Linked DNA regions of Coturnix japonica. The protein of the gene in region 1 purifies or fractionates together with the protein of each later gene. This does not show direct contact. Links are inferred from orthologs where the notes say so. Each region holds a gene or a part of one and is shown in the gene's direction. Other genes may lie near its edges.

What was found.
Region 2: the proteins of RBSN (region 1) and VPS45 purify together in Homo sapiens (affinity purification with mass spectrometry; 4 studies listed by BioGRID and IntAct, counting the BioPlex papers as one, with this or other methods). This does not show direct contact. The link is inferred for Coturnix japonica from reciprocal best matches to the Homo sapiens genes RBSN and VPS45.

What each region holds. Positions count from the first base shown.
Region 1 is NC_029527.1:17,051,076-17,055,026, forward strand, and holds the end of RBSN (rabenosyn-5), read left to right. Parts: intron 1-202; coding exon 203-1,339; 3' UTR 1,340-3,427; downstream 3,428-3,951. UniProt on the Homo sapiens protein: Rab4/Rab5 effector protein acting in early endocytic membrane fusion and membrane trafficking of recycling endosomes. Required for endosome fusion either homotypically or with clathrin coated vesicles.
Region 2 is NC_029540.1:63,035-66,616, reverse strand, and holds part of VPS45 (vacuolar protein sorting-associated protein 45), read left to right. Parts: intron 1-308; coding exon 309-422; intron 423-847; coding exon 848-1,015; intron 1,016-3,549; coding exon 3,550-3,582. UniProt on the Homo sapiens protein: May play a role in vesicle-mediated protein trafficking from the Golgi stack through the trans-Golgi network.

The sequences.
Region 1 (3,951 bases):
ACAGGCAGACGTGAATAGATTTCATTAAGTGTCTTCATAAATAATAGGTAGTATTACAAAAATGAACAGTTTTTTCAGAGAAACTAAAGACTGAGTTGATGTTTGTGACAGCAGTATCTAAGGTAGACAACTATTTTCTGTGAATACAAAAGTTAAAAATGGAATTTTTCAAGCTCACGTTCTCCATATATTTTTGTTTTAGGCAGCTCTTGAAACACACAGAAAACAAGAGGAGAAGCAGAAAGACTTGACATGCAGATCTGCAGGTGCAGTTAATGGTGATGCAACTCTCCTTAAAAAAGGAGCAGTCAGGAAATCTGAAGGCTGGCTGCCTACATCGAGCATATCTCGACAGAGTGAGGTGGCAGACCCACTTCTTCAGCAGATTGACAACATCACATCCTTCATTGAGCAAGCAAAGGCAGCTAATAGGCTGGATGAGGTCCGTATGTTGCAAGAAAACCTGAGGCAACTTCAGGATGAATATGATCAACAGCAAACTCTGAAAGCCATTGAGCTTTCTAAAAAACAGGCAGAAGAGGAAGAGAAGCAGAGGGAAGAACTTCAGTTCCTTTGTGAAAAAGAGTGGGAAAGAGAACACCACAAATCCATGTCTCAGCATTCAATGACAGGCTCCTTAGATTTCAGAGAAGGCAAGCAGCATCAGTATGAAGCTGCAAAAGAGAATCAGAACTTGTTAGCACATAGATTGGATTTAGATATTACTCAAGTGAAAGGGAACCGAAGTTCTGAAACTACTGCTGTTCAGCAGATTCCAGCCAAAGAGTACGTAATCGTCCCAGTTAGACACCAGAATACTCCACAGTGTGGCAAAGACCAAAATCAGGCAACCTGTCTAAACCCCTTTGAAGATGAAGCAGATACCCCTCTGTCAGAGGAAGATCCCACTAACCCATTTGCTGAAGATGTGTCTCAACCGGTTTCTTTCTCTAACACAGCTCTGCAAAGTGACAGAAAAGAATATAACCCATTTGAAAATGGGGAGGAAGGTGAACAGACCAGTGGAGCATCTGTCAGTACTTCAAATCCCTTTGAAGAGGATGAAAATCCATTTCAGAAGTCTGGGAACAATTGGAATTCTGGAAATCCATTTGAAGAAGGATCTTCTACCAATCCCTTTGAGGTGGAAGATGTAACTGAGATCTTAAGAGAGGAGGCTATAGACGAGGAACTGCTTCTCCAACAGATAGATAATATCAAAGCCTACATATTTGATGCCAAGCATAGCGGACGAATGGATGAGGTGGAACTACTGACGGAGAACTTAAAGGAACTGAAGTACACTTTAGCAAAACAAAAGGAGAAATCCAACTGTTGAAGCAGCAATCACACCTTGTAAGAGTTACCTCAAGTCCGCTGCTAAGAGATGGGAAGATGGAGCAGTTATAAACAGCAGTACAGATTACAAGAAGGAATTGGGAGAATGTTATATTTTATATGCTTTCATTTATATATTCCCAACACTACTCAGCCTTGAAGAAAGAAGAGGAACGCTGCTAGTCTTGAACACTTATACTAAAAAAACTTATCATAAGTTGTTACAACCATCTTAATGCTAATTCGTCTTACTGTGTGTTTAATTTGGTCAAAAGGCTTAAGCAGTAATAGGGAACTGTCACTTTGTTTTATGGTTGGTTTGTCATCTTTCCTCCTTGTTTGCACTGTGTTGTTACAGCAGCTGAGCTACTGGCTTTTCAAATGGAGCTTTGACCGAAAAGACAAAAGTGTTTCTAAAATTTCTGCATCTTCTGCTAATGGCACAGTGTCAGGTACAGGCCAGTCTGACTGTCCTAAGAGAGTTACAAGGAAGTGCTGTTGAAAGGCTGCTATGATTCTTTGAGATGCAGGATATACAGGCCATAGGTCAGTTTTGTGCAATAGTACATGAAATGGATTTAAAAACTAGTAGAGACTTCACTGATTTTAATATGAGTAGCATTTAAAGTGTGCTTATAACAATTTCTAACTGAGGTGCCACCTTGTTACTTTTAGTTTCCCAGTCCCTCTAGGCACAAATTGCAGTGTAATAGAGAGCCACGTTGGCTTCAAAGCTACGTGTGTAGGAATGAATATGTAGATGCTCATTTCCAGAACATCAGGCTAGTATTAAGGGTGACCTTGAAATTCCTGATTATATTCTGGAATGTGCACTTTCCTTTATACTCTCTGGGTTGAAGAATGATCATATTTGTTTACCTGAGACTTGAATCCTTATTGTAGCACTTTAAGAACAGAAATCCTGGAGAGCTGAAGTGCCACTGAACTGGAATTCTGTGAGAGCTGGGCTGTGATTGTGCCAAATGTAAGTTCCTATTTTATATTTGATTCTCATCAGAAGTTAAAAGAACCAGGCATGCGAGTCTTCAGTAAGCAGGTCCAGATGGGAGTCTTGGTTTGGGCCTCCACCCATGGCAGTGACTGGGTAAAGGCCATCTCCTGTGGTGCAGGAGGGCTTCTGGAGATTGGTACTATAAAAGTTAGGATTGTTCAGTGTTAAGTTAGTGTGTTTTGCTGCTTTCCCCACATTCCCTCCCTTTGAGAGGCAGAGGTCCATCTTCAGACATAAGTGTTTGAAACGGTGGTTGGGAGAAGTTAGTTAGAAAGGTGTATCTAATTAAAGCTGAAAAGGAGGATATTGGGCAGATCATACTCTCTTGCTCTAATAGTAGTGGGCTTACTGAGAAGTAGAGTTTTGTGGAGTGGGACATCTCTTAACTATGTATCCAATAACACATGAATAGCGTAGCTGTAACTGGGGCACTACTTAGTATTTCAGAAACACAAATTATCACGCTACCTAAGCAGCAGGAGCTGTAGATTTCTTTTAAATACACTGAAGGACTGTACTTCTGTTTAAGGCAAACAAAACCAACAGATGTACCCGCAGTAAGACTAATAACTGATCAGAATAACTCAGTACAGCAGCTTCAGGACAGCTGTACTTCTCACTGCAGTTTGAAGTTGAAAGGTGCACAGAATGGGTTTTCTCAAGGACTTCAGTTTTTTATACCAGTGCATGTTGTTAATGTTGGCTGTATCTCCAGGCGTTACTGTGAAGTGGGCCGAGCATCTGCAGCAGAGTTCTGAAAGGCCGTAAACTAAACATAGTTCTGTGCTGTGGCACCAGGTGTACAAAGGCAGCAGAAATGACTGAGATGAAATTTATCCCAAGAATTGCTCACTTCAAAGTGAATAGTCCAAGTCAGTTTTTCAAGGCAGACTATGGCTGCTCAAGAGGAGTGCTTCTTGCATTATAACCCAAAGCTCTTCGTGGTATTGAGATGAAAAGAATATTTCAGTGGCTTCAGCACTTGCATTTAAAAAGCTTGTTTTCCTTGTTGTAACCATCCTGCACTACTTGTACATTCAGCCTAATTAATAAAATCCTTCTGTACATGTGACTGTACTTGTACAAGTAGCATCACGATTGCTGACAGCATTAACTGCGGTACATCAGCCTCTGATACTGAAGTTCTCTCCAATGCGAAGACCATGTGCTGGTATTTGGGCTGCTGTGAGGCTCCCAAGGCACAACAAAATGAAGACAGCTATAGAACTAGTAAGTAACTAGCGCTGAGATGGTACAATTGCATGCAGTACTCTGTATAGAAATGTGGTAAACGAGAGATAAAATAACATCTATTTCGTGCTGTATTGGCCCTTGATAATTCAAGCATTCCTTAAAAATGGGTGTGAAATGTTGTATTCAACCATTAGCTCAGAAATGCTGATAATTATTTCTACAGCAATTTGCACATACGAGCCTGATTTAATGCAATTAAATAATTAAAAGCAGTGTAGTGCTATTGCGTATTTATATACTGTTACAGGTATAGGGTAAACCATTCAAAGCAGAAACTACTATGATCTAAAACTGTGGCAGGGGCCAGTAGCATCAGAAGTAGAAGATGTCCAGCAGTACTGGACTCC
Region 2 (3,582 bases), on another chromosome or scaffold:
ATGCCAGAATCATGTTCTGTTCTTGGAACCTTTCAGTCTTTCAGTGACTTTGTTAAGGTGGGGGAGGTTTATGTAGAGTGAGAGTCACTGCGTCACACAGACGTTTTCTGGTGTGTAATAACGGCTTTTTGGTAGTTTTAAATAAAATGGGACCAATCGCAAAGCTGCCCGGTCAAGTTTGGGTGTCAGACAGATGAGATGCTCTGCAGTGGTACTTAAGTGTTTGGGTTCAGTGTCTCTGGGTTTTAGCTGTGTCAGGACTTGTGTTCAAATGGTTTTCTCTCAAATCCCCTCTTTGTTCCATGCAGAACATGTACCTGAACTTTGCAGAGATTGGCAGTAACATCAAGAACCTTATGGAGGATTTCCAGAAGAGGAAACCTAAGGAGCAGCAGAAGTTGGAATCCATAGCGGATATGAAGGTACAGGCAGGACTTGTTGAAGCCCGTATGTTGCAGGGTAGACCCTGTGGTGGGCCATCCTGCTCCCTCTGACAGCTCCTGAGCTGCAGTTTAGAGCCTGCTGGAATCTGGAATCCCCACAGTGGAATTGATAAGCTCCAGTTCGGGTCCTTGGCTTAACCCAGTGTGGTTGTGTGCACTTCCTATCTGAGCTGGGTCACTTGGCAGCTGCCCACAGCAGGGGCTGCTAATTTAGTCACCACCAAAGATTTAAAGAATCCTGGCAACATCTCTGGAGTTACTTTATGTGATCTTTTATTATGGGTATACCTGCATTGCTCTGTTCATTAGGGGATGTGTGCAACCCAGTGGGAAATTGTATAAGCTCCATCTTGCTGTCTGTTGCTCTTATTCTGAAGCGTGTCACTCTGGTTTGCTCCTCGCAGGCTTTTGTGGAGAACTACCCGCAGTTCAAGAAGATGTCGGGCACGGTGTCAAAGCACGTGACAGTGGTAGGAGAGCTCTCTCGACTGGTCGGTGAGCGCAACCTGCTGGAGGTGTCTGAGGTGGAGCAGGAGCTGGCCTGTCACAACGACCATTCCAGTGCCCTCCAGGTACGTTGGACCCTGAACCTGCCTGCGGTCCTTTGAATTTAGATGGTTTGCTCCTGAGTCTCCTGCTGATGGAGTTTGATACTGAAAGTCAGTGGCAGTTCTGTGCACAGATGTCCTACAGGGTAGGAACATAAGACGTTAGGATTACTTTTCTCCTACCTGTTCAGTTCAGATGGGGATGAATCATAGTTAATAACTGGCTTGAGAAGCATCTTTGCAAACTCTGTCTTTACATTTCACAGTAGAACATTCCTTCATTATATGAGGTCGGCTGAGACCTGGCAAGCTGCCTGCAGAGGCACCAGTAAAACAAAACCTGGACCCTTGTGCAGAAGCTTCTCGTATTTGTTGGGAAGGAGAAGAAATGGAATCCATAACTGAAGCAGACCGTTCCTTGTGGTTTTTACTTCTTTTTTTAACAATACAGAACAGTGAAAAGCCTTTCAGATAAAAGGTTTCTTTGGCAGAGAGGGCTGAAAAAGCCTACAAGAGACTTCTGTTATAGCTGGGTATAGACTGAAGTTTTGACCCCACTCTTGCTTGTTGGATTCCATGACCTGACCTGATATCTGACAGTGTGTCAATAATGATGAATGGTGGCTGCTGACTATTCAGAGAAAATAGCAGTATTGTTGGGAGCGACTGTATTATAGCAGAGTTCAGCCACTGACTCACTGTTTGAAAGCTTTTTTGCAGTTGGGATAGAAGTTACACCATATAATGGACTTATTTACACTTATTTACAACAGATTAGAAAGCCCTGTTTTCTTTACCTCCGTTACTCTGTTCCCTAAGTGGGTGGCTCAGTGATAACATCAGCTCCTCAAGCACTGTCGTCTATTACCAGATCCTGAGCTGATGTAAATCAGTATAGACCTGTTGAAGTCAGCACAGCTGTATAGATCTGTGAGCATATAGATGTGATTTGATAGCTTGTATTTGGTAGAATTTTGATGGCTAAGTGTTGAAGAGGGATTATAACCATAAAATGCATTTGCTGAACACAAGCTCTCTTGCTCTCTTGATTCACCTCGATGCTGGTTCAGGTCTCAGTCTGCACTGAGTGGTGTTTCTGCAGGTTTTATGGCACATAGGCTGCCTGCAGTTGTTGATACCACACGCCTAAAGGGCTCCGTTGTGTTTGTATCAACTGAGAGTGACTGAAAACCGTGTAGCAGCTGGGAAGTAAATGCAGAATGCAAAGATGGAACCGGTGTCTTTCTGCATGAGAGATCAGTATCCCCTTAGTTGTAATGCCCCAGGCTGTTCCCTGCTGCAGTCTCCTAATGGCAGCAAAGGGGCAAGGCCACAGACACAATGAAGAATAACCAGTGCACAAAATAAAGGCAGAATTGTTCTCCCACTGATGTAACTTCAGCAATTGTTAATTTCTCTGGTGGCCAAGGGCCCCCTGAGTACAGTACATTTTGGTTATTCTTTTCCTGGTCTCTTATTAATCCTGACATTGTACATGAGCCTTGAGAGATGAATGGGAGGTTTTGAATCCCATCTCCTTAGATGGACAATAGCTTTTCTGTTTTACAAGCTTCCCGCTTATATCGGCACTGCCACTGTGCTGCCAGCGCAGGATCCAGGACGTGGGACTCTGTCCTTACCCTGACAGGTGAATTCCTGACCTGAAGAGTTTCTTGGTTAACCCCAGGGAGCAGCTCCAGCCAGGATTTTACCCCATGTTTCTGTAACTGGTCTGCATCAGTGTAACAGATAGCAACAAACAGATAGCAAATAGCTGAATCAGCTGGGTCAATAACAACTGTTACAATATTGTTTCACAGCTGTTCGCTGAATGTTTCCGTGCTGCCTCCCTGTTCTGGGAGGCTGGGAGAATGTTGCCAAGATGTGCTGGGATGTTTGGAGTGCTTGAAGGTCATGTTCTCTTGCAGCATAGGAAAAATCCTCCTGGCTGCTTCTGTCCCTCTGCCATTTCAACCACTGTACGACTAAAGCTCTGCTGTGCTCTTACACTTGAGCCAATACAGGCTGATGTTTTGCTTTAAGCACAGGTAGGATTGCAGATTGTTGTGCCCTCAGGGGTTGCCAACATCCAGAGATTGTCTGAGACTCTGCTGCTTCATCCTCACACCTACAAGAAAACAGTGTAGCTCTGCTGGCACTTCCTCCTTGATGGTTAATATTGTGATGGAACGTGTGGGCCAGCTTTTGCTGCATTCAGGTTGGAAAAGGGCAGAGATTAAAGGTTTCTGCAAGCATCTGAGATACCCCGTTTGGGAGGAAAGCACTGTGAGCTGGGCTCACTCTGAGGCGCGTTATGGAGAGCTGCAGAGAATTACAGAGAATTCCCAGCTTTGTGAAAACAACTTGCAGTCCATTATACACCAATAAATCTAAGCACAGAGCTCCTAAGAAGCTCAGGTCTGTTGCTTATGGCACAGTTTAATTCCCTTGTGTTCTTTCTGCTTGTAATGTTGTTACTAAGCAGTGGGTCTGATGTGAGTCTGATTTAATGTGCTCTGAAGGCCTCTCCATTAATCCCACTTCATATCTCGCTGCAGAATGTGCGACGCCTCCTGCAGAACCCCAAGGTG